Oryzias latipes: one gene and its partners. The protein of the gene in region 1 interacts with the protein of each later gene in a biochemical or structural test. Links are inferred from orthologs where the notes say so. Each region holds a gene or a part of one and is shown on either strand. Other genes may lie near its edges.

Region 1 (11,998 bases):
AAAATATTGTTTGAGCGATCTTCATGAAATTTCACAAACATGTCGCCAGCTTAAGTCTACAACCACCATCAAAGTTTCGATGACCTTTGGGAAGAGGCCGCCATATTGAATTCCATCCATCCATTCATTTTCTTAACCCCTTGACCCATTGCTGGAGCCTTTCGTGGCTGCCGTTGGACCAGGGCGGGGTAAATCCTGAATAGGTCACTAGCATGTAGCAGGGCACACAATCACGCATTCACACCTAGAGACACTTTAGAGACAACAATCAACCTATGACGCATGTTTTTGTACTGTGGGAGGAGCCATAAATGCACAAGGAGAAGATGCAGCCTCTACACAGAAGGGTACCATTCAGGATTTGAACCAGGGCCTTGAGACCTGTGAGGCGAGAGGGCTGCATCATCGGGCAGCCCCCCAGAATAATAAAAGAAAACTCCCCTGTAGTACCTCCTATTACTTTAAACTACTCCTAGGGATTTTGATCAATCGCCACCTAACTCCTCGAAAATTATTTGGATGCTAGTTGGAAAAAAACATGTTGGAGTTAGACGTTTTTGAATGGCGTTTACGCTGCCAAGCTTGAAAAAAATGGCGTTCCCCTGTTGCTCGTACATTTTTTACCAGAATATTGTGAAAATTGTTGGCTCAAGCTGAATGAAACAATATGACATCCAATACGAATATATTAGGGATGTGGGAGTGGCTAACAGAAAACCTCTGTTGCCACGGAAATCCAAAAATTTACTTTTGCCGAATCTTCAAAAAATTACTTAGACCTGTTCCTCACCCTCAGGCAACCCAAAATTATAATGGTTGCTATGGAGATTTAACCAACAGAAAAGTTGCCATTTTGAAAAAAAGTTGTGTTTTTCTTAAAGGAATTTATCCTGTGGAGCTCTGTAACCAGGGTGGCAGAGGCAGACGAGGAGAGGCAGCCACTAAACAAAATGGGCTAATGGGGGAGTAGCAAAGGCAGAGTGGGTAGCGCTTGCGGGCCATACAATGGCGTTCGCAGCTTTGATTTTAAATTTAGTTCATTTTGTGCAATGAAGTGATTTACATTTTTATGAATCCAATGAAACCCAATGAGATGCTATTTTTCAAATGTCATTGTGTAAAAAGCTAAATATCCAGTCAAGATATCAGATCACGTAAATGTGACAGAAACAAATATGAATGAAAAAACTGAATTTTAGAAACTTCACTTAAATATTGCAAAACACAATAAATAATCATTGCACAATATAAATGAAAGTGTTATGCAAAAAAGCACAGAATAGTGAGTAAAGCTGAGCATGAGCTCTGACCTTACAGCTATGTGTGCATGGGTATCACAAGATTAGTGTGTGGACACGCATTCAATAGCATCCTTTTATTTCCTCCGTCATTCCTCCGTATCCCGATGTTCACCTCGGGCGGCTGCAGCTCAGACAATCTGAAGGGAAGGAGACTCACACCCATGCTTACATTGGCCTCAGGCAATCAACTTCTGATTCAGAGGAAGTAAAGTCTGTGGTTAAAAAACGAAAACTTTATTTTAAAAAAAAACTTTCAATGTCTGTTTAATATAAAAAATATATATTATTTGGACAGGTTAGCGAAAATAATTAATGTTAATCTGTTATGCAGTCCCATCAGGTGAGAATCTGCGTCTAATGAAACATACAGGACAAATCTTCGGTGTCGGTCATAATTATGGCTTTTCTATTTCATTTGGCCAAAAAATAAAAAAATAAAAATCCATGTGTATTTTGTAAAGCCTAAAAATAGAAGCAACCTTTCAGATATTTGTTTTAAAATAATTTAAGTTTGTGGCTTTGCTTCTATACCGTACTACATTGAACTAACACAAATCAGTAAACTGTGAGTAAACCGCTCACTTTTTTTAAATTGAGGGTTAATTCAGGTTAAAACAATGGTTGCAACAAAGTGATTAATATTATTTTATTTTTATGTGAATCTCAGCAAAAGACCACAAGAATATGTAAATGTTTTTTTTAGAAAGAAATGTACCCAGTGAAGAATTAGCTGACTTAAAGAATCCAGAAGATTTAACTTAACAAAACTATTTCCATAAAAAAAGTGGACACCTGCATACTTAGCCTAAATACTTAATTTATATATAATTAATATTCAGAAAGTAACTCCATTCCTGCAGATAAGGACAGCATCATGATCAATGAAACCCAGTTGGGTAATATTTTAAAGTCTAAACTGGATGAAATCAACAGTTTTTATTAATAAATAATACATGTCCATTTTTTAAAACATTCCCAGTAGTGTTTTAATTCTGATTATGAAGTTTTTAACCAAAATCCCACAACCTAAATGTCTTCAAAAGCAACATTTCATGATTAAAAAATCTGAACTCTGACAACTCAACTTTGAGAATGTGACGTTTTCAGTGACGGCGGGCAGAATACACACCCAATAGCTGAGTATTTGAGGGACCCAATATGGTTACTTCTCCTAAACTTAACTTTATGACTGATGTACTTTTATCTAGCGACAACTTAATTATAATTTCCTGTTTTTAGCGACTGAATGATGCACTTTTTATGTATTATTTATTATTTCTGTTGTTGTCATTTTTAGCATGGCAAATTGGTTCAATATATGAATGTTGCACTGACCAAATACCACTTTTAAGATATCATTGTACCAGTGAGAATGACAATAAAGAACTATCTAGCTATAAACTGGGACAAACACTTGACAACAGGTAAATACAAACCTGCTGTTCTTTTCTTTTTCAAGAAAAAATTAAGTCATCTTAGCTTTATTTAAATATTAAAATTAGTGAAAAAGATTTTGATCTAATCTGTTGTTTTGTAAAGATCTGTTTATTATTATTATTTTTTTGCATTTTCTCCTTAAATCTACTTGATTCCATTTGAAAAAAACAGATACTGACGCCCTTGTCTTTGGTGAAAGGACATTTCTGGGCTCTCTTATCACAGGGACTGGTGATTTTCCCACTGATGTAGTCCTGTGCATGTGAGGCTGCACTGCATGTGACCCCTCATGTGCTCACAAACCCAGTTCAGGAGGAAACAAATCCTCACTAAAGTGCACTTGATTTAACATACCACAAATACTCAGCTATTACACTCTTTCTTAAACAGTTTACCTCTTTTCTAACAAGCAATCGTCCAGTATTATGAGACTTTTCACTGATATGTTGAATAAATCAGAATAATGTTGGGGAACAGATGAAATAACAGCGATTCATAAGACTGTACATTCTATGGAGATCAAAGGCAAAAGCAGAGTTGGGTCAGAAATGTTTGCATCAAATCACGTCTGACCAAAGTGAGGAACAGTTTCATCCCTATGCAGCCCCAATAACTACCGTTATGCTGAGTGAGGCAGCAAACGACCAGACCCACCAAGGCTGGAAACTGAACAGTACTGGGAGAAAGAGACAGCACATAACAGCAATGCCCAAGGGCTGGTCCCTTTAAGAAGGGAACATAGCAACCTGCCTGAACTGAATCAAGTAACCATCACAGTGGCAAAAATCCAAGAAAGAGTCTCAAATACGAAGAACTAGACAGCACTGGGCCTTGACATGATACATGTCTACTGCCTAAAGAAACTCCATGAGCGCCAGGGAGGACAAATGAACCGGCCGCTAAGAGATGGGATTCACCCCGAATGGCTAACGGAAGGGCAAACGATCCTGATCCAGAAGGGTCCCTCAAAGGGTGCAGTACCATCCAAATACCAGCCAATAACCTGTCTCTCCACAACATGGAAGCTCTCTCTTTCTCTCTCTCACTATGTATATATATATATATATATATATATATATATATATATATATATATATATATATATATATATATATATATATACATACATACACATACACACATACACACACACACTATATATATGGTTTAACCTATATTTTGGTTTGCATCTTTGTTAATCTTATTTTTTATTGCTTGAAGTAAAATGTTCAGATTTATGATAAATCTTAACAAGAAAATTCTGTCACCGGATTATCAGCAGTGCTCATCTGTCATTCCTGCGACAACTTTCCATGAACTGGGAGGTCTATAAATTAACTTCCCACAGTTAACACAACATGATGATGCAGAATAATTTTCCAACAAACCACTGAATGCACTTCAGAGCAAACACTAAAGGCAGTTTATTACTTTTTTATACAATAGAAGCAGCCTTCTAGTTATACCCAAATATGTCGCTTTGCACATAAATCTGATGGGGGGGGGGGGGGGGGTATTTCAGGCCTGTGGGCTTCAATCATGTGGATTATTGGTATGAATGCTTGTTATGTTCCACCAAACTCTGAGGATGTTTCAACATAAAGAGGGGGGGAAAAAACAGCTGACCTATAGATATTAGGGCTATATGTTTGATATGAAGGACCCAAGCCAAACAGACAAAGGACAGAATGCTTGTTCTGTTCTGTCTTTCTGGATCCAAATGATAGATAATTTATGCTGAACTGTTGACGTCTTTGTGATATCACTGCACTGAATGGTATAACGGGAGCAGTGTATGCGTGTTGTGTATACACAGTTCTGAAAAATAAATGAAAAATAAAAAATACATAAATTCCAGTGTTTCATCTGAATTAGAACCACGTTACTGCAGAGGGCTACTTATGTAATTCAATAATTTATACCAACATAAAAGTGATTACTTGACAATGATATTTCAATTTCGATCTCTTCAAATACATATATATATATATATATTTATATATATATATATTACAATGAATACAAATAGAAAAGTTGAACAAAGGAAAAACTTTTTTTTCTTTTTGTTAGTGTAAAATTTGGTTTACAAAAGTAGAAAATTAATAATATTTTCTAACATACTTTTCTTATCCTGTGGCAAAGATAGTCCATTGGAGTCTATACTTTAAGTTTACTTTTTATACACTATATATTGAAGACATAAAATGTAATAATTTATTCTGAGAAGTATTCTGTTAGTATACTTCCTGTACTGCATGTACATGGAGTATAGTAGGCGTACATTTGCTGTAATTATACTTAGGTATACTTAAGAAGTAAACTTTAGGTGTACAAGTGTACTACTTTTTTGCCAAAAAGTTGTCAGGAGTGGTTATAATCTTTTGGGATTTCAGTTTTATCTCACTAACAAAAAACAGTGTGAATGTGTTTGACAAGGAAATGCTGCACTAACAAAGAAACTAATAAAACACTTAAAAAGGTTTTGTCTCAATTGAAACTTTGAAGTCTTTTTATTTTTATTTTGACTGTTTATGCTTTTTTTAAAAAACTTTTATGTATTATTACTTTTGTTGATTCATTTATTGAATTATGTGTTTATTTTTTTTATTTTGTTTATTTTATTATTATTTATTTCATTTTATTATTATTATTATTATTATTTTTTTGTTATTCAACCTCATGGCAACTTCAATAATTTGCACTTGGTGTGAAATTCTGTATGTGCAATGTTTGTCAATAAAGTTATTAAAATTAAAAAAAAATAATCTCCGTCTTTGATTTTTGTTTTTTAACTGATGGTTAAATTGGAATATAAATGCATTTATGAAAATGTATACATTGATAAAAAAAAATGTTCCAAAAATACACATTATTTGTGGGCGTTAAACTTTTTTCCCTTCATATTTAACCGCTTTTACGTAGCTTTCTGGTTCCTTTACGCCGTAGACCATGTGACCAAAGAGTGCGGCTTGTTTATTATTCCGTTATACGCCGGAAGACGAGGAACTCATTTCTCCAATTACACCAGTTCGCAATAAAATCATTGGATTAAATACAATAAACATAGCGGTCTACCTTCACCAGTGCCATATATCAGGACTGACTTTAATTACTGCTAAATTCAAGAAAAGGGAAAATAATAAATTGCTTCTGCTCTGAACGGTACGGTGTGTCTCGAGCACAAAAACGAACGCCCGCAACACAACGCGGGAAACGCCGTTGTGTTGTTTTCCACCGCGGAGCAACCACCGGGCTAATCCTCAATTTAGGGGTTAGTGTTACTACCTGACAGATGTTCACCTGTCCGTTTTTGTGTGCCGCTCTCTGACCGGAGAGAGTTTGTCCTCGAACGGGACCCCTTGGTTTGGTTGTAGCCTGGACCGCATGACGAAACCCGGAGAAGCGGGTAATTGTAGGTCGGTCCCCGCGCTGCTTAATGCTTGTAGCCTCCGAGAAGACGTTAGCTCCGAAACAAAGAAAGAGGTCCGGTCCGATTCTGGTGGGAAATGGATACGTTTCAGAAAGTGGAAAAGATCGGAGAAGGGACGTATGGAGTGGTTTACAAAGCTAAAAACAAACTGACCGGAGAAACGGTTGCGCTGAAGAAAATCCGACTGGATACGTAAGTGAAAAGTTCTTCTTCCTGCTGGTTGAAACCTCTGAGAAGCGTTTGTTGTGATTCAGATTATCTCAAATGCTTAATTCCAGTCCCCTCATGAAACAGTTTCATTAATTACAGAAAAGACAAAACATTTTAAATTCACTCTATGTACAAAGACCTAAAAAATAAAAGTAAATAATAATACAAAGTTGAAACAAAACTGACATGTTACAAAATAAAAGCATTCAGCTCTTGTTTGGTTGGTTTCACTGTCAAATTAAACCTACTCAGTTACATTTAAAATCTATTCACCATCTGTTTTATTCATCTCTATTTGCCTTTGGGGGTAATGGAACACTAAACACAATTAGTCAATAAATTGATCAAAAGTGATGATTACAAATTCATGTGCATTTGTCCATAAAGTTTTGGAAAAGCATCATAAACACAACAAATTGCTTTAATTTAAAATGATTCTTAATCAAAATGAATTATTGTGCAATAACTAGGAAAATTGTATTCAATTTATCAATGGGACAAAGGAAGCATTTAACTTCATAAAACAATCTCCGCTGATCCTTAAATTTGTGATTTCTTTAATCCAGAGAAACAGAGGGCGTACCAAGCACAGCGATTCGAGAAATTTCACTTCTTAAAGAACTCAGTCATCCAAATATTGTCAAGTAAGTGTTTAACCATGCAGAAATATGTTTATTTTGTTCAAAAGAATCCCATTTTGTGTGATTTTATGTTTTAAACCAACTTTTTTTTTTTGTCCAGGTTGCAGGATGTGATTCACACAGAAAACAAACTCTATCTGGTTTTTGAGTTCCTCCATCAGGACCTCAAAAAATTCATGGACTCTTCCTCTGTGACTGGCATCCCGCTGGCTTTGGTGAAGGTGAGCGTCCTCTTTAAAGAGAAGATCCTGAAACTGTCCAGACCTGATTCCTTGTTCTTACTGTCTTGTGTTTCTAGAGTTATCTCTTCCAGTTGCTGCAAGGCCTGGCTTTCTGCCACTCTCACAGAGTTCTTCATCGGGACCTGAAGCCCCAAAACCTCCTCATCAACGCCCAGGGTGAGATCAAACTGGCAGACTTCGGTCTGGCGAGAGCTTTTGGAGTGCCGGTCCGCACCTACACTCATGAGGTACAGTGTGCTCCTCCCTTTCTTCATCTGTAACAAGGTACGAATCGATCTGATAACAGCTGATTTTGTTTTTCTAATGTGGTTCAGGGATTTTTAGTGCTGGATAGTGAGAAAATGTTTATTTTAAAGGATAAAATCCCAAAATATGTATTTTCTTAGCTTTGCTCTTTCAAAATCTGATTCAGACCTTTTCTTGTCTTGTATCAGGTTCACATAATAAAACATTAGAGTCGTTCTTGATTCTTTGTGGTATCTTTCAGGTGGTAACACTTTGGTACAGAGCCCCAGAAATCCTCCTCGGCTGCAAATACTACTCCACAGCTGTCGATGTCTGGAGTTTGGGGTGCATCTTCGCTGAAATGGTAACGCGCTCGACCCCAAGACCAACTTCAATAAAGAATTAGGAGCACGCTGATAATAAACTGATGGTCTGTGTTCACAGATCACCAGGAGGGCTTTGTTTCCCGGAGACTCTGAGATCGATCAGTTATTCAGGATCTTTCGCACGCTGGGCACACCTGACGAAACGGCGTGGCCCGGAGTCACATCCATGCCCGACTACAAGCCCTCCTTCCCCAAATGGGCTCGTCAGGATTTATCCAAAGTGGTTCCGCTTCTAGACGAAGATGGAAGAGAGTTGCTCGGAGTGAGATTTTCTTCTGATTGCTACATGTTTTACTCTTTTCCTGTTAAATATCTGCAAACGCGTTAATTAAGAGTAATTGTTTTTATGTGTAGAGTTTAGAAAGGATGACAAATTCTCTTATGCAAATTATAACTTTTTCTGTCTACTGAAAAAAAAAAAACAATATTTTAAACGCAGCTCAGAAATATTGACTTGAAAAAACCTTTTCAAATTTTTTGTTTGCCTTTCTAGGATGGTGCCCTTTCAGCTTTTTTTCCTACTTTCCATTTTTCTCTAATAATTTATCTTTAAAATAGTTTTTGTGGTAATGCTTGACATTTGTTTTTTAGTACAACCGCGGCTTCTCTCTGTCTCTCTTTTTTTTTAGCAGAATATTTTTAATTATATCCCAATAATTTCACAATGAAACTTTACAAAAACTCAATTTCAGGTTTTAAATTTACTAATTTGTATTACCGGTAACTAAAAAAATTTGAGAACAAACAGTTTTTATGTTTTATTACAACGATCCAAAGGCGTACAAAATAAATGAAAAAATAAATACAAAAGTAAGGTAAAGATGATATTAAAACAGTGCAAAAAACGTGTGAAAATAACAAACAAAACAAAAACACACAGACCCCCCACTCAACTTGTAGGATTTATTTCAAGAGTTATCACATAACTTGCGGTCGGTGTCATTAGTACAGTTAACAACCAATGTGATGGGTTAACCCACGGGTGACTAAGCCTTACCACCAACGTACCTGGTGTGAAAAATTGACCCTTTTTAAAAAATATGACAAATAATATGATTTCTTCCAGGCTTCTTCTTCCATTATAAATGTCACATTTGTCAGGTCTCCTTTGAAAAAGAGGTTCCTGGTAAAATAAAGGTTAAATTAAATTTAAAAAAAGCAATTCTCCAAACTCGTTTGATCACTGCACACTTGGTGTATCTCAACCTCTGACCTGGTGCTTGTAAAATAACTGTCATGTAAGAAGGACCTTAAATTTGTCTCGACTTTACTGCCAGGCATGAAAAAAAATTCTTTTATATAAATATAAACTGCTTATTGCTGTTAAATTGATGATAAAGTTGTTTTTGGTCCTGAAAAGGTTGAATTGTTTGGCGTTGATGTTCATTATATTTGATAAGCTTGTCTTGTAAAGAATTGATTCATGTATAAAGTGTTTAAGATCACTACTTCAAAGCATGAAAAAACATTATTTCTTTCTCTCCAGGAAATGCTGAAATATGACCCAAACAAAAGGCTTTCTGCAAAAAATGCACTTGTACATCGCTTTTTCCGAGACGTGACCATGCCCGTGCCTAACCTCCGACTGTGAGGCATATCTGCACGCCACGCCGGAATTAAGTCTGAGCAATAAAGGCCGCCTTGCTCCACCACTTACCCGTCTGAAATGGAAGTTAGACGATGCAGGAGACGGTGGATTATTGAGTAACGTGTTGCTGTTATTTAATCTGCATTGTTGTAATCTATGTGGGGGTTCAACTGTAATTTTCATGATTCGTTCTTGACTACGTACATGTAGCTGGATCGGGATTCAGGATTCATTTGGTAAAAGCTGTTGCTCTACATCTCTAAATTCCAATCCCATCTTGTGTTAAGGATGTTCAAGTTTTCTGTTGGGCAGAGTTAAAAATGACTGAACAAAGTGGGGGGGGGGGGGGGGGGGGATGCAAATAACTAAGGTGTTTTGAACACCCGAACACAGAAATGAGCTTCTGAAGGATCCTGGATCGCTCCCCAAACTCAAGTTCCGATGTACAAACATTCTGTTATTTGAATTTTTATGAAACTGAATGCTTGTGGATCTTAAGTGAGATTTTATCAGTGCCTAAATAGCATTTTTATAGATATTGTTTATATGCAGTTTGGAAAAAAAATAAACTGGTTTAAGTAAAAGTTTCTGGTGAAATGTGTTTTCTGTGGAAACGTTTAATTTTTTTATTATGAGAAGACTCTGCAGAATCTTACCCTTTGAATTTGCAGCCAAACATGACATTATAAAAAAAACAGTATCACTGTAAACAGATTAGTTCTTCCTAAACCTTGAAGAATCACACAAGAATAAAGAAAGACCAGTAAAGCACAAACAGAAATGGAATTAATGCTGCTGTTCTTTATTCACTAAAATAAGACATTTAGACAGGAAGTGTGTGGTTGCTAGCCTGCTAGCAGTTTTTGCACAAAACATGAGATTCTTTATTCATTTTATTTTAACTTAATAAAAAAGCAGAATTTTAAAAAACTACACTTTTAATACGCATCCGTTAAAAATGATATATGTACAATCTTTGACTTCAAAATGTGTGTAATGTTCATTAGATCACTTAATTCTGAATGAACATGTTATAAATACATGTAAATGTTTGTTACATGCCTGAAAACAGCTGTAGAAATAATTCAAAAAGTATCATTAAAAATGTGTAATTTGGAGTAGAAATAAACATGTTTTGTTGTCTGAGCAAAGTCGGAAAGACCTTTTGTTTTGAACAAAAACTTATTGAAAGGACAAAATACAACTAAATACATTTAGTTTTTAAAATATGGTCTTCTGATTTAGCCATTTGACTGGAATCATAGATTTTATTTCTGTTCCATGCATGCCATGCTCCTGCAACATCTTGGTCATTCAGCCTCTGGATGCATTTTGGGGGGGGTCTTTTTATTGGCATTCTCTTGGATTCAAAGGCCGGTTTGCACAACCACATGCATATATGTGGAAAAAGTGAAAAAAGTTGTGGACTTTACCTGAAGGTCTTTATCAAAAATGAACAGCGTTGAAACACGGAAGAAGAACGAATAAATCACGCAAAGAACACGTAAATCAAGGACGAACAAGAACCGTGCGTGATTATTGCGCTGTTAAATGCAATTCATTAGTGATTCGTGCGTCAATTATGTAATTTGAACGTGATATCTGTGTTGTATACGCAACATAAAAGTTATTCGTCGGTGGTACAAGTGTGAAATGGCCACTAATTTGGGTATGCATCTAGCAAAAATTATGCACAACTGTGCAAGATTCATGCAATAGTTGTGCATAAACTACGTCAAATACGGATAAATGGCATAATTCTCAACTGACCAAAAGTTTTAAACAGCTCAAAACTGAATTCACGTCAAGACCCGTCGGTCGAAACCCTCGACAGACATCTGTTTGCATCGACAAATGAGGAATAAAAGAAACACTTATGAATTACATATAAAAGGAAGAACAACCTTTTTTTTGTTGCACGCGTCAGAGAAATGACAGTTCTTGCTCCCCAAGAAAGCTGAATGTAACTTCAGTGACATTTATGGCGTGAAAAAAACATCTTGGAGGAGCCGAAACTGGCAACACATGGAATTGTAAATATTCAGTCATTCTATTCTCTTGCTTTATGACACAGGAAAAAAAAATCCAACATTCACTACAGAGTATGAAAAAACATACAGAGAATTCACAGAGGTTTTTGTAAATGAGAAAAATTCCAGAAAAGACCTGGAAACATCAACAATTCTGATGTCAGAAATAGTCAGCAGATTGAAAAACTGTCAAGACTCCGACACGGTTCAATTCGATGCCTCAAATTTCCAGTTTCTTTTTCATGGCCAGCTTATAGAGGATCTGGTAGCCGTCATCCCAGGCGTAGAGCAGCTGCTCCTGCGGGTTGTACTTCAGACTGGAGTGGGAGCCGTACCGCTTTGGAAAGTAAATCAGAGGGGCCTCCTCTGCGGTCACCATGTCATTGACGTCAAACACGCACTGCACCCGTGAACGCCCCGGCTGCATGGTGTTGTACACCACGTAGAGGGTGCCGCATATAACAAAAGCCGCCTCTGCGTTCTCTCTTGGACAGCTTGTGTCCCACAT
Region 2 (6,715 bases), about 25 Mb from region 1:
CATGTGGGGGATTCCCTGCTCTGAATGCTGGGTGCAGCTGCATGGGGGGGGGGGGGGGGGTCTGGTTTGACTCCCCCGCCTGAAGCCAACACACCGCAATCTGACGCCTCAGAGCTGGAGCGCGCCAGCGGACGCATGACACCGACACGTCTATTTTTGCGCTGGAGCTGCGCGCCTGTGTGAGAGGAGCGAGCACGCGCGCGTTGGCTCTTCAAAGCGGGTTAGAATGGTGTCGGGGCAGATTCCAGATGAGCGCCGCGCGCGCAGATTAGTCCCGTCCTGATCTTGGGAGGGAAAGTGAGAAGCTAAGATGAGGCTTGCAGCATGGGACAGTAGGGGGGGGGGGGGGTGTCAGCATTGGCCCAGATACCAAACACAGAGCTGGGGGGTGGGGGGTGGGTGTCATAACATGCCTGAAGTTTGTAGTGTAAAAGCACACGGACGGCGCGGCGGAGGAGAGCCGAGCTGAGATGAAGATGGAGATGGCAGAAAACAACAGGACGTGGTCTGTCTGTGGCTTCCTGGAGACACACTGTGACACGAGAGATGGATGTCAACACGCGTGGATGTGGACGCACGAGGACGACACACACGCAGCACAGCGACGACAACAAAATATTCAATCAGAAACGTTACCATACTGCTTTAATCCAATTTTTGCAGCGACATTGCAAGTGTCTGTTCGAGGCCCATCCTCCTCCTCCTCCTCCTCTCTCCCTCCTCCCTCTTTGCACACCAAGGAGCAGCCCCCCTCCTCAAATGAGTCTGCTCCCAGCAGCTATCGCGCGCGCCATCACCGCTCCGGATTCTAACGCTCCATCGTTAACGACATCAGCATCCACAGCCTGCTCCCTCTGCGCTCGTCTGTTTTCCTCCCTCTCCTTTGTGTCGTACGACCACCCCCCCCTCCTCCTCCTCCTGCCGCCTCCCTCTGCTTCACCCTCCGCCCCGCTCTCCCTCCGCATCTCTCTGTCTGCGCAAATGGGAGCAGTTCTGCCCTGTAATGGATGAGGGAGCAGCAGGACAGATGATGGAGGGAATGGACAGAAGGAGGTGGGGGGAGGCTCAGCAGAGGGAGGGAGGGAGGGTGGCTCCAGGCCTGCACCTTGAGTGCAAACAGCCTGTGTGACTGATGCCAACACACACACACACACACACAGTGACCACCTCCCTTTTCTTGTGTGCTCATCACAGAAGATGAAGGAGGAGGCGCCACCACTGAGAACTTGTTGGAGTGTCCTCTGAAGATGTCAGTGTGTGTGTGTGTGTGTGTGTGTGTGTGTGTGTGTGGGTGTGTGTGTGTGTGTGTGTGCATGTGTGCAGGAGGATGGAGGCTGAGCGCACATGAAAGCAAGCTTTCATCAACACCTTCAAAAGCAGCTCCGGTCCAGAGAAGCTCAGGTTCCTCCTCTTTCAGGTGCAGCAGAGGAGCGTGGGAGAAGCGCTGAAGCTGTCAGGGAGGCTCCAGAAAAATCTGCTGCCCAGCAACAAACCAAAAACTGAAGACCTACAGTGGAGGAAAGAAGTGTTGCCGGTCTTGTTGTCTATTTTGAAAAATTGTGGACTTGGGCCCCTTTTGAACTAACCGATTCAAATGTCTTCTAAATCATTCCGATTTGGTGGCTGTTGCTTGGCAAAGCTGAGCTTCAGTTCTCTCCACAGGTTTTCTACAGGACTGAGGTCCAGAGACTGGCTGGACCGCTCCATGACCACGATCTGCTTCTTCAGCCTTGGTTGTCTTGGCTGTATGTTTTGGGTCAAGGTCCTGTTAAGAGCCACCCATCCACCACACATTTGGAGGTAAGCACATCCTCCCATCCACACGGGGAAGTTGCCCTGTGCAGAAAAAGCTCCCCACAGCATAATGCTTCCACCTCCATGCTTGACAGTGGGGATGGTGTTCTTGGGGTCAAAGGCAGCATTTCTCTTCCTCCAAACAAGACGGCTTGAGTCGGTAGATGCCAAAGAGCTCGTTGTTTGGTCTAATCTGACCACAGCACCTTCTTCCAATCACTGTCCAGTCATTAAGGTGTTCCCTGACACACTTCAGGTGGGCCGGCACATCTGCCTTCCTCAGCAGGGGGACTTAGCACTCTCTACTAGATGTCAAACCATTGCAGCATAAAGTATCACCAATGGTTTTCTTGGTGACTGTGGTCACAGCTGCTTTCAGATCATCAGCCCACTCCTGCCGTGTTGTTTTAGGCCAATTTCTCTCTGTTCTCATGATCATGGAAACCGTTTCCACCAGGACAGATCTGGTTTGGAGCCCCAGACCTAAAGGTCCACTGATGATTATGTTCTTGTGTTTTGGCAGAATTGCACCAACAATTGTCATGGTAACCCCCAGCTTCTTGCTGATGGTTTTGTTGTCCATCAGTTCTACAATCTTCTCCCTTAGATCCAATGAAAACTCTTTAGTCTTTTCCATGTCTGATGGACTCTGGACAGGTGTCTTTTCTACAGGCGTCTTCAATTCAGGTGACAGGTTGAAGAGGAGAGTCTAACTGGTCTGTGTGAACCAGAACTCTTAATGGTTGCTAGGGGATCAAACACTGGAGTCCCTTGATGAAATCTAAATAAATGTATATACGTTTGTTTGATGTGCTTTGTGATTTTCTATCTCTCACTGTTCAAATAAATCTACAGATGACAGATTGTCCTCTATTGTACCTGCAGAACATATTGGGAATTTCCTCCAGAACAGACATATAACACTAAAGCAGATTGCCATAAAATGCAAAGTAAAGCCAACAGAGAGAAGGCTGCAGTTGATCTGCTGGAGGGGGCGAGGACGGATCTCCATTCACTGTTTTTACGCCTCCTCTCTGCTCTTTGTCTCTTTCTTTTACTTGTTTAACTATAATCAGGATTGCAGCAAGAAGTATCACCAATGGTTTTCTTGGTGACTGTGGTCACAGCTGCTTTGAGATCATCAACCCACTCCTGCCGTGTTGTTTATTACCTCAACTCCCAGCACGAATAACCCAACAATTGTGTTGAAGAAAATAAAGGTGTGTGTAGAAAAACACAGATAAAACTCCTTCAGCGCTTCATCACCTCTTCCTCTCCTTGGATTGAGTTAGGATCCAGAAAAACCATCAGCCTTTTATTTCAGATTTATCACGGATCCACACAAACACGATGAATAACACAATAAATAAGAGTCGACTCCTGAGGAGCTGAAAAGTGATCGCATGACCAGAAGCATCAGCAGAAGTGCATTGGGGCAGGTTTGCTCTTTTCGAAGCCGTCAGTTCATACATGATTAAAGTGACCTTACATGACTCTCATCCAGATTAGGCGGAGCAGCAGGATTTGCTGGACAGATATGTCGTTTACAAGCGGAGAGCAGTAGTTCCATCCATGACACCTTTGCTCCTGATGGAAAAACCTTCCTCACGAATACATTTGGACCTGAAAATACTGTTCCTGATCGTCCTTTACGCACCTTAAAATACCTACAAGTACAACTTCTGTGCAATACTGCAATGTTTTTAGATTTATACTACTCAAATACATCTGATATATGCTGAATATATATCTATAACCCTTGTGCTATCTAGTAGGGTCCAGATGACCCCACTCCCAACGTTAACATGCCTTGGGAGCACGTTAACGTTGGGAGTGGGGTCATCTGGACCCTACTAGACATATTGGCTTGTACAGCTCACCGTCTTGTGGGGTCCAGGTGACCCCAGTTGGAAGTGGGGTCATCTGGACCCCACAAGACAGTGAGCTGAACCTTTTTTTTCAATGTTTACATGAAATCCTCTCCACCTTTATCTACATTTCTCATGGTAGGGATAACACGTCAATGTAAGGGTGGGGTCATTTTGACCCAACAACATAGCACAAGGGGTTAATGCTCCAAAGAGATAAATTGCTACACACTGAACATTCATAATCCAGAGCCATTCACACGTCAGGACAGAGCAGCAGATGAATTTGACGAATAAGAGACAGGACATGAAGGGAAATGCAGGTTTGTGGTTCGTGATGGAAGCAGAGCGTCTCTAGACTTGGAGACGTTGAATCTCTTTTTCCCAATAGTTCATATAAAACTCTTCACTTCAGCATAAAAAAAGGGGGGACATTGTGATTTTAACACATGCTGTACATCTTCCTCCTCTCCTGTGGGTGGGAGCCGAGATGTGGAATGTACAGCGGCGAAAATGTCTGTCATCACTTTGGCAACCGCTTGATCCAAATGAGGATAAATCCACTGATTCCGTGGATTACCGTTAATCTTCTCTGCTCAAATGTCCCCTTCTTAGCCCAGGGAAAGGCACCGATCCCCCCCCACATACAGTAGCCTAATTAACTGAGCAGTGAAATGTAGCTGAACCCCTCCCGAGTTCACAGGTACGGACTCCTGCGGAGGGCGTGGCTTCTGAGTGGGGCGTGGCGTGTGCGCTCCTCCGTCACTCGCCCGATTTCCGCGGCATCCAGACCATTCGTCGTTTAGCTTGGTAGAAATCTGCAGGGATGAAAGCGACACTGAGCTCAGGGGGAATCGGTGCAACGACACAGACGCAGCTGAACGTTCCACTCCCATCATATTTTGAGAAAAGCCTTCCCTGTCGTCTTTTGATTACGATTATGCCTTTTTTAGCCAAAATGAAATAATCTTGTCGTCACCTCTGAGATGTGGGCGGGGCATTAGCTCAGAGTAACCCCGCCCCTACCTCCCATTATCCATCTATTTGTACCCTCTCTAGCTGGCTTACAGCCCCTCACATTACTCTTCTAGCTCAGACGAGGGACTAAAAAAGTTTTTTGGACCTATTTGTCTGTAAATGAATGCAGATACTCTCTTTTTCTAACATTTTTTATCTGCTTTGAACAATTAAATACTAAGCTTTTCTTTATAAATGTCCTCCATCGTCAATAAAGCGTCATAAGAACACGATTCAAAACAAATGAAAGCACCTGTGATGTTTGTCTGTTTCCTCTTCATCCCGGCCTTCTCCTCCTTCTCTGGTGTTTTCTCCACGTTGAAGATGTTCTCTGTCAGTGGGATGTTCTCCTTCTCCCTCTGCGGCAGCTCAGATCTTCGTCTCTTGGGGGGGGTCCTGGTCTCCGCCGTCTTCTGGACCCGTCCAGCATCCTGACAGCGGTACAGCAGCGGCACTCCGGCCCCCGGGACGCTCTCCCACAGGAAGTGGCTGCCCTCCAGGGGCTTGTCGGAGCGGAAGTCGAAGCCCCAGCGAAGGGACGCTTCGTCCAGGTCTTTCCGCAGGGCGGCCTGGTACTCCAGCTGAAGCTGCTCCCGGTCCACCGGGCCAAACAGGTTTCGCCTCGCGGGCCTCCTGGGAGCGGCGGGAATCCGCTTTGGAGCAGCCATGGTTCTGCACTGTTTGAACACAGAACACTCCTGGTTAGATCTCAGATGTCATATGATGATGAGATGGATCATGTAAAGCAGTAAAAGAGTCAAAGAAAAACCCAAAGTGTAAAAAGTTCCGAGCTCACCATGACTGTTCACTCTACAGACCATCAGAGAAAAGCAGAGCTGTGCCTCTCCTCTCCTCCCTCCCTCTTAGGAGAGGCTGAATCATCGGTACATGCCTGGACATAATCTGACAGGCCGACAACACAGAGCCGCCACTAGGGGGCAGAGTGGCAATGACAGATCCACCACCAGAGGTGTCCTTCCACCTCAGTCTGCATGACAGACCGCATCACCCTGAACAGGACATTTTCCTTTTTAGGAAAAAAGGAAGTCCATCCCAGGCCAGGCTGGTTATCCAGGAGGACAAAATAGTCCACAGTAAAGCTTGTTGTTTTTTTTTTAAAGAGAGCAGAAAATGAGGATAGACAGCAAACAAACCCCCAGCAGCTTGTTAGATATGATTTTATTATAATACATAAATTAAAAATGGTTGTTCCTGTTTTTTTTTTGTTTTAAAAAACACTTTAGAAAACAATTTATACCAAAAATATGAATATTTTCCTTTATCTGGTTTAAAACTATTTCCAGTTCTTTAGTGATAATGTTTAAATTAATATTTAGGTTTCTCCACATTATAATCCCGCTGTTCTTAAAGCTCAGACTGATGGATATTGACATTAAATATCTTATTTTTGAATGTTTTGATTCTTCCATTGAGGCTGGAACGGTGATCTAGCAGAGTAACCCAGACTTTTCATGACGTCATAGACCGACATAAAGCTTCTGTTGTCTCTTCGGGGCGGGGTCACTGGGGGCGCGGCCGACTCCCATCGGGGCGGGCGTTCAGGCCATGGCGGGAGAGTATGAATCCGGGTTTGGACCAGCCCCGTTCGGTTACTACGAGGCTCCACGTGAACCTGGAGCACGTGTCCCCCATTCAAACGGGGCTGTCACCGCCGTACTCACGCGGAGGACGCGCGCGCGCATCAAAACACCCTAGATAGGACTTCTGGAAAACTTTTTTTTGATTTAATAAGTTACCAGGAAACTTTTTTAATTCATATAACCAGAATGTTGGATCAACGACGCTGAAGTTAGCATCCGATTCACAGCTTCCGATTCGCGAGTGCACTAAAGGAGCATTCCACTGTTTTTTTTGCACTAAGATCTCCTTAGATGGGGTCCGGTTCAAAAACTGCTGGACCTAGACTGCTCAAACCTGGATTAAATTATGATTTAGATACTGAAGAATACATTAAACACAGTTTCTGATTTGTGAAACCTTCCTCTGATTTGTGAAAATGTGAAATAGGTTGATTT
Region 3 (8,015 bases), about 5.7 Mb from region 1:
CCCGCAGCTCCGAGGAGACGTCCAGCTTCATGCACAGGTCCCTGAGCCGCACGCTGGCCAGGTGGTACACCTGCAGACACCACGCCGTTCTGCAGCAGATCCTCTGGGCTGAACGTGAACAGAGAACTGGTGGGTTCCTCACCTTCCTGAAGAACAGGGCGAGCGATCCCGTGCGCCGCGGCCGGCCGCTTCCCGTGTACGGCTCGGTCGTCATGGCAACAGCGGCGGCGGGTCGGCTCGGGGACGACGTCAGCAGGAACTGGGCGGTCACCACTCCGGAGGAATCGCAGGAAGACACGGGGATGAGGGTGAAGGTGCGGTCGGTGCTCATGCCTGCGGGTTGAACGTCACACCTTCAGCTCGGGCTGCTCTCATGCCTCAGACTCCTCCCACTTTCCTCCCATTCAGTGTCCAGGTGAGAAATGATCACCTTGCAGTGGGAGACTCACGACCGTCGTCTGAGCTCCTTGGCCACCGATCTTGAGCGTTGTGCTGCCGCTTGAGCTGAAGGTCAGTTTCTTGGCTGGGGAGGGCAGCGGCCCCGCGGGGGAGGTCAGGCCCACAGACGGAGCCGGAGGGTCGTCGCCAAAGAGACGCCGCTTGGCGCTCCCGGCCGCCGGGGAGCTGTACCTGTCGTGAACCGACAGCGGAGAGGGGGGCACCTCTGAAAGGGCAGAGGAAGCAAAGTCGGTGCTTGAACCGCAGCATCCTGCACAGACGTGGAGCAGACACCCACCTTTCCGCGCGCTCCCCAAACCGGCCCTGAACTCCCGGATGCGGGGGTGGATGATGGGGGAGTGGGCCGCCAGCGGCAGGTGAGGCTGAATGCCGTTAGAGGAACCCGAGTCCAGACAGGAGGAGAAGTTGACCTGTTGGAGGAGACGAGGAGACTGCTGCCAGGTGTGTCGTCAGGTGACTTAAAGAAAAACCTGGATTCCCAGAATCCTCTGCTCTAACCGTCAGATGTTTGAAGTTCATAATCTTCACGCAGACAAAATAAAACAATCCAAAGTTTTTATTTTGTCCACATGAAGGTCTACAATAATCCAGACCTTTTCATGACTCAGCAGAATTGCTGAGACAAACTCTGGAGAGCAGGAAGATGAAAGCAGGCTTCACATGTAGACCTCAGTAAACCTGACAGACCCTAAATGACCTTCAATGACCTTCACCTTGGTCAGCACCGTCACACTGACCTCCTCCACGGAGGGAACTTCGTTCCCTGCAGCCTTCAGGGCGCTCCACAGCGCAGAATCTTCGGTCCACGCTCTGCTCTCCAGAACCTGCTCCTCAATGGAGTTCAGGTGCTTCACCATGTCTCTGGACAGGCCCTCCTCAGAGCGGATGAACACCTCGATCACCTGCACACACAGCCCCAGAGACCGCCGTTCTCCTTAAACCAGCTGACTCATGGTTCAGCAGAGGAAAACCCAAGTGGATCTAAAAGATCTCCAGCGGAGCAGCGTCTCTACCTTAAAGAAGTAAAACGGGGCCAGTTTGAAGACGTCGATGATCCACGGGAACGTCCTCTGCGAGCTGTAGGAGAACAGCACCACCTCCAGGCAGCACGCCATCAGCGAGCAGTGAAAGATGTCCTGCTCCAGCAGAGCCTGCAGTCACAGCACTGTCAGATCAGGCCGCCGCGTTTCCCGCCATCCGGCGCCGCGCCACTTACGCTCATGTCTCTGCCCTGCAGCCGCTTGGTCTCCTGCACCAGAACGTTCTCCAGAACCTTGTAGTAGAGGATCTCAGCCAGCTTCAGGCGGTTCTCTGCAAAGTCTGAAGCAAACGCGACGAACATCGTCACTCTTCCCGGACTAAACCTGAACGGATGAAGCTGAGGCAGCTTCTGAGCAGAACCGGATACCTATGTGAGAACCCGGGGTGTCCTCCGAGTCGTTGGTGTAATGTTCCTTGAAGGTCTGACCCAGAGTCTTCACTCGGGCCAGAACGGAACCAGTGGGATCCCTGGAGCAGGTTCTGCAGGGCAAACGGAGGAACCGGGACACAAACGGAGAAATTTTTCATATGAACTTCCTCTCAGCAGCGCGTGCCAAGACAAACACCCACCTGAAGATCTGCATCAGGTTTTCGCTGGGGGCCGTCCTCAAACCCGCCACCATGCTCTGCAGCCGGCTGACGCTCTGCGTCGCCGAGGAGACGGGAGTGACGAGCAGGTCCTTCTCCTTCAGGTAGCCCCGCCCCGTCAGCGGGGTGGATGGAGCGAGGGAGGCGGGCTGCAGAGAATGAAAGAAGGTCCATCAGGTGGTCTGCAGAGCCCCGCTCCGACAGACACAAACATGCTGCTGCAGTCAGAGGCTGGACTTCATCGTCATAGAAACGCTGGCGCTGGTATTTCCTCCAGAGGTAACTGGAGGTCAAACCTCCTGAAGGTCTGCCGAATGGCCTGCTTCCAGCACCGAGGCGGGAAATGGTGGAGCAGCTTCATGATTTGACGTTTGTTGGGAAAATGAAAGCAAAGCTACACAAAGGATGAGCAGCAGCAGCAGAGGGGAACGGCGCATTTCTCTGCTGTCCTGACCCCATCAACCGTTTGGACGTTTTCACGGCGTGGTGGAGCAGAGGGGTCAAACCCGCCTGGTTCTGCGTCTGACCACAGGCCGCCATATGGCGGGTTTGACCCATGATGGATTTGAGACAGGACAGGAGTTTCTAGTCTTCCTCGTGGGTGCGGTGCGAGCCCCTTCCTCACAGGACGACCACGTCAAAGCGACTTTGGCGACGACTTGGCGGCGTTTGCGAGGACGCACCTTCTCCCTGTGTTGCTGCATCTGACCGGCAGAGCGATCTGGAAGGACCTTCCTCGGCGTTCCGATTTCCTCGTCTGCGTCGGCTCCCAGGAAGACGCGCTCATCGAAGTCCCCCACCGTCAGCACGTACTCCTCATACTCCCTGTTGACGGCTTTGCTGTGGAAACGGGCAGAACGCAGCGGTGAGGAGCCGCCGGCGGAAGAACCGCGTCAGAATCCAGAGCGTCCGTACTTGTTATCTATGAAGTTCTGAGGGTCCAGCATTTCCGTCAGCAGCTCCTGGTTTCCCCTCAAGATCTGAAAGGATGCAAAGAAAACGGAAGCATCAGAAGTTGTGCAATCCAAGGATGTAATGGAAAGACTGGGGGGGCCACAGGTGAGGAGACAGGGTGCACACCTGTCTCTGGAAGAGCTTCTGGATGTACGGTCTGAAGTAGTGCTGCCTGATGCCTTTGGCTTCCACCACCAGCCCATCGTGGAGCTCACACAACCTCTCCAGCACGCAGGGAGGGGGCTCGTCAGGCACCACGTGGCAGTCTGCGCGGTACTGGGGGGGCAGACCTGAGGAGACCCAAACACGGGAAGAGTTTGACGGTTGCTGGTGCAACCCCCTGAAGGCCCCCGCTTCCCCGTGAGGCCATGAAGCCGCACAGCGAGGAACGGTGGTTTGAAGCCCGCCGTGGCTTCCATGGAGCTGCTTTCTCCAACGCACATCACTCCCATCAACGTGATCATGTGTGTGTGTGTGTTGGGGGGAGTTTATGCGTGTTTGCATGTGAACAGAAAAGGTGGCAGAAGCGGAGCGGACCGACCTCTGAAGGTCGGGTTGATGAGGTCCTTCCTGTTTGCACACAGCAGAGCGTTTCCAAACACCAAGTCCAGACAGCAGAGCAGCAGGTGGTACGAGTTCACCAGGTCATCGCCGATCATTCGGAAGTTTCCTGGAAAAAAAGACATTGAAGTCTGTGCATAAACATCTGCAACCAGTACATTCCAGCGTCTGAGGACAAACTATGGATTTCAACCTGCAAACACAGAAATACTTTCTGCGTTTGTCCCTAAATGGCGTTCGCCACATCTCTTCCTTCAGCTCTGGATGTTTTCTACAGCTCAAGCAAACCCAGAGGGTTCAGGAAGGTCGTCCGGCTTGTTTCTCGGTACCTTTGGTGTAGACAAAGAGGGTCCAGCAGAACTTGAAGACATCACTGATGTGACAGGGCAGCCGTCTGCAGACACACAGGAGCAGATCCTAAAGCCCAGAACATTCCGGAAAACTCCACATCTGCTGAAAGCTGCTGTCGGTGCAAACATGCAGCAGCGTCTCTGACGTGGAGGTCAGAGTTCAAGCTGTGTCTGCAGTAGAGATGGAGCTGCAACGGATCCCAACACTCACGGTTTGGATCATGTCTCAGATCAGTAAAAAGGATGAAACATCAAGACAAAAGCCTAAAATGTATTTGTTTTTGTCAAAACCTTTGCTCGGGTTTTATTTGAACTCAAGATATTCCAACAAGACGCAATGCACCATGTGTGTATGTGTGTATATATAGTATACTGTGGACATGTATATAGTATACACCGTCATGCCTGAGGCGCGCCGGCGTCCCACCTGTGCTTCCTGCTGCGGGGCTGCCGGGGGGGCTCGCTGCCCTGTGGGTTCTGGAACATGTCCATGAAGATGGGCTCGAACTTGCGGAAGATCACGGTGGACACCTCAAAGTTTCGCTCCAGCCGGTCCATCCTCAGCCGGAAGTCTTGTGACAGGTTTGACATGTCGGCCCACTTCCTCATCTTAGAGAAGAACTGGATCAGGCTGGGAGGGGGGCCGACAACAAACGGGACCAAACATGAAGACGCAAATCCCAAAGTTGCACAGGCGGATCCCGTTTGACCGGGACTGGCTGTAAAATCCAGCAGAAGCTGCAGAGCAGAACCTGACCTGAGCTTGGAGCAGCGCAGGATCCGGGTCAGGGACACACAGTTGCCCTCCATCAGCCCCTTCCCCACAGTGGGGGTGGACCCCTTCCTGCAGGCGGCGTACAGAGAACAGGCCAGCCAGTGGACCACCTCCCCCTGCAGGAACACAACGGCACATTTCTGCATCGTCCAGCTCTGCCCACCCACCGGTGCCCGAGTGCCCTTGGGCCTGTTAGCGTCTGGCATGGCAGCTGTGCCTCCATTGGTGCGTGAATGAAATGATTGGTAAAGGTTCAGGTTCTTCTGAACAAAACCCTGTGCTAAACCCTCAGGAACAGCTAGTAGATGAAACATGAACACGTTCAGCATTCAGTCACATTTCAGTAAAATACTGCGTTTTATTTCATTCTTTTCATTTTGCTCAAAATAGACTTTACATCTTTAACCATATGAATTCATAATGAGGTGTAACAGCTGTTTTATGGAGACAACAACAGAGATAAACGATTTCCTAACGTTCACTCGTCTAGTTAAAATAACGCATCAACATAAAATCCAGTTATTACAACTAAATGTACAACATTTGGATCCGTTTGGAACCAAATATGCTACAAAAATGCTGAATTTATTCACCAGAGTGACGTCATTTTTCTACATTTAAAGAAACATTGAATCATGTGAAGAATTTCAGGCATCTCCATCTTCAACGCCATCGTGTTAAACAGCAGCAGGAGCGCACAGAACAAATCCACCATCTCAACCCTGAGATCAAACAAATCCATAAAAAATCATCAAATAAAAACAACTAAACTCATTTCCTCCAAATGGCCCATTCACTGTAACCTTTTCCTGTTTTTAAATATTTTTATTATTTGTATTTATTTAAATTGCTGTTTTAACTGTTTATTATATTTTATATAAGTACATATGATGTACAGCAACCTTGAGTGCTCAGAAAGGCGCCATCTAAATAAAATGTGTGATTATTATTACTGTATATTAATCAAAGAGCTAAAACAAATCTAGTAAAGTTTTGGACGTTTCTGTTCTTTGGGTCACTTTTCTAGACAGCAACAGATAAATGAACAGAGTCCCTTTTAAAGCCACATCAAATCAAAAATCCAGATATTAGACGCCTTTGATTACAAATCCTCCTTTATGCAGGTGAGTCGTGCTGTGTTCACTGCCCTGTTCAATCAGTAGGAATTTATAATTCTCTTTACGCCCCTCAAATACTGTTTTCTTGCTAATATTTTCTTAGTTTTTGCTAAAAAAATAAGGACTTCATATTTAAAAATTCAGTGCATCCACCTCCATGTTGTAGATAATAAATACACCTTCCGTTTATTGCCATCTATTTATTGCCATTAGTTACCAGGTAAACCTAAAGACGAGGCTCCTCTTCCCGTCACCTGCAGCATCTCGCTGTGACGTTGATTCAACAACGGACGTAAACAACAATCCTATGACTCAAATCAACACCTGGATGTTTTAACTCAGTCTCACAAATAAGCCTCATTTCAGTGTTTCTGTGTGTAAACACAAAAATCTCCGGTAAGCTTCAGGAAAACTCACGTCACAGCATCATGTATTAATGTATATCATGACCGGAGGTCGCAGAGCAGAAGCGCTCGTTGGCTCATAGCGGGTCAGTCTACAGCGCCCCCGGGAGACTCTAACCCCCCCCCGAACCGAACCGAACCGAAGCCAGTCGTTTACCTCCAGAGTGTATGTGTTCCATATGGAGGTGAAGTTGTCCATGGCCTCACTGGCTGTCTGCTCGTCCATGTTGAGCTCCTGACACAGCACCTCCAAACTCCTCCGGACCGAACTCTCCTCCATCCTCCCCGACTCAGAATCCGAAGACTCCTCCCCTCTCATCCACAGAACCAGCGCTGCCCGTCCGCGCAGCTCGAATCCGACCCACAGAACCAAACAACGGCGGAGCCGAGCTCTCACCACAACAACACGGTTCCCGTCGCTTCCGCTAACAGCTCCCAGCATGCAGTGCGGTGGCGCGAAAACTTTACCCTTCTGACCAATCAGAGGCGAGAAACCTACGCCCCCCTCTCCCCCTTTCTTATGTACCGGATGTCAACTTTTTTTTCTAAAACTTTATAAAAAACAAAAGCACGAACACATTGAAGGCAAAAACTTCTCTGGCCACTAGGAGGCAGGGACATTAGTTATCATTATCGGTTATTATTACTGGTTATTATTATTGTTAATTATTATTGGTTATTATTATCGGTTATTATTATTGGTTATTATTATTGTTAATTATTATTGGTTATTATTATCGGTTATTATTATTGGTTATTATTATTGGTTCTTACTACTGGTTGTTATTATTGGTTACTACAATTGGTCATTATTATTTGTTATTTTTATCGGTTATTATTATTGGTTATTATTATTGTTAATTATTATTGGTTATTATTATCGGTTATTATTATTGGTTATTATTATTAGTAATTATTATTGGTAATTATTATTGGTTATTATTATTAGTAATTATTATTGGTTATTATTATTGTTAATTATTATTGGTTATTATTATCGGTTATTATTATTGGTTATTATTATTAGTAATTATTATTGGTAATTATTATTGGTTATTATTATTAGTAATTATTATTGGTAATTATTATTGGTTATTATTATTGGTAGTTACTATTGGTTATTACTCCCTCCCTACATTTGTTCCTTAATCACAAGGAGAAGTGTGGAATCTCACTCCTCTGATCCTTAGACGGTTGTTTCTGTTCCATTTGCTGCACAGAGCTGGGAAAAAGCCTTAGTCCACTCTGCTCCTCCTGCTTGGAAAATGCTGCAGAAAGACTGGAAACTAACTGAACTGGTATCTTTAAATGTTTTTAAGAACAAGCTCAAAGCATCAGAGACTGAAACAATAATGTGCAACTGCTTCTCATGATGTATGTGGTTTTAATGATGTTTGTTTTTATGTATTTTTTTGTATTGAAATGTGCCTCTGGACCAAGACTCCCTTGAAAAAAAGATCTTGTCTCAATAGGACTACCTGGTAGAATAAAGGTAAAGTAAAAACCTCTGGAAAAGTAATAATAAAAAGAAACATTCAAAAATCACAATTTAAGCATTTATAGCTCAAACCTAGATATTTTGTTCAAGTGGAAATACAAATTTAAACAGCATAAAACGATGGACTAAAAACGAATGGGGACATTTAGTTTCTGGGATTTTTCCTACATGGTCTGGCTGCTTTAGACAGTTAAATATAATTCATCATAACAAACAAGTTATTGAACATTTAATTAGCAAAATGTTACAAAAACAGAGTAACAAGAA

The links. The genes of interacting proteins can lie anywhere in the genome.
Region 2: the proteins of cdk2 (region 1) and cyclin-dependent kinase inhibitor 1-like form a complex in vitro, tested with the Homo sapiens proteins (9 studies listed by BioGRID and IntAct, with this or other methods). The link is inferred for Oryzias latipes from reciprocal best matches to the Homo sapiens genes CDK2 and CDKN1A.
Region 3: of the proteins of cdk2 (region 1) and rbl1, one has a biochemical effect on the other in vitro, tested with the Homo sapiens proteins (5 studies listed by BioGRID, with this or other methods). The link is inferred for Oryzias latipes from reciprocal best matches to the Homo sapiens genes CDK2 and RBL1.

What each region holds. Positions count from the first base shown.
Region 1 is NC_019863.2:27,090,519-27,102,516, reverse strand, and holds cdk2 (cyclin-dependent kinase 2), read left to right. Parts: upstream 1-5,925; 5' UTR 5,926-6,244; coding exon 6,245-6,360; intron 6,361-6,944; coding exon 6,945-7,022; intron 7,023-7,119; coding exon 7,120-7,240; intron 7,241-7,317; coding exon 7,318-7,488; intron 7,489-7,748; coding exon 7,749-7,850; intron 7,851-7,930; coding exon 7,931-8,134; intron 8,135-9,358; coding exon 9,359-9,463; 3' UTR 9,464-10,044; downstream 10,045-11,998. Other genes in the region: olfml3 (olfactomedin-like protein 3), read right to left, coding at 11,711-11,998. UniProt on the Homo sapiens protein: Serine/threonine-protein kinase involved in the control of the cell cycle; essential for meiosis, but dispensable for mitosis. Phosphorylates CABLES1, CTNNB1, CDK2AP2, ERCC6, NBN, USP37, p53/TP53, NPM1, CDK7, RB1, BRCA2, MYC, NPAT, EZH2.
Region 2 is NC_019863.2:2,304,899-2,311,613, forward strand, and holds cyclin-dependent kinase inhibitor 1-like, read right to left. Parts: upstream 5,361-6,715; 5' UTR 5,357-5,360; coding exon of another isoform or gene 5,348-5,356; coding exon 4,933-5,347; intron 4,481-4,932; coding exon 4,425-4,480; 3' UTR 4,380-4,424; downstream 1-4,379. Other genes in the region: tmcc2 (transmembrane and coiled-coil domains protein 2), read right to left, coding at 637-639. UniProt on the Homo sapiens protein: Plays an important role in controlling cell cycle progression and DNA damage-induced G2 arrest. Involved in p53/TP53 mediated inhibition of cellular proliferation in response to DNA damage.
Region 3 is NC_019863.2:32,783,014-32,791,028, forward strand, and holds the start of rbl1 (retinoblastoma-like protein 1), read right to left. Parts: upstream 6,680-8,015; 5' UTR 6,570-6,679; coding exon 6,408-6,569; intron 4,845-6,407; coding exon 4,711-4,844; intron 4,585-4,710; coding exon 4,381-4,584; intron 3,998-4,380; coding exon 3,933-3,997; intron 3,713-3,932; coding exon 3,584-3,712; intron 3,333-3,583; coding exon 3,169-3,332; intron 3,069-3,168; coding exon 3,004-3,068; intron 2,929-3,003; coding exon 2,772-2,928; intron 2,238-2,771; coding exon 2,071-2,237; intron 1,981-2,070; coding exon 1,868-1,980; intron 1,780-1,867; coding exon 1,676-1,779; intron 1,611-1,675; coding exon 1,473-1,610; intron 1,362-1,472; coding exon 1,197-1,361; intron 870-1,196; coding exon 737-869; intron 665-736; coding exon 431-664; intron 334-430; coding exon 143-333; intron 71-142; coding exon 1-70. UniProt on the Homo sapiens protein: Key regulator of entry into cell division. Directly involved in heterochromatin formation by maintaining overall chromatin structure and, in particular, that of constitutive heterochromatin by stabilizing histone methylation.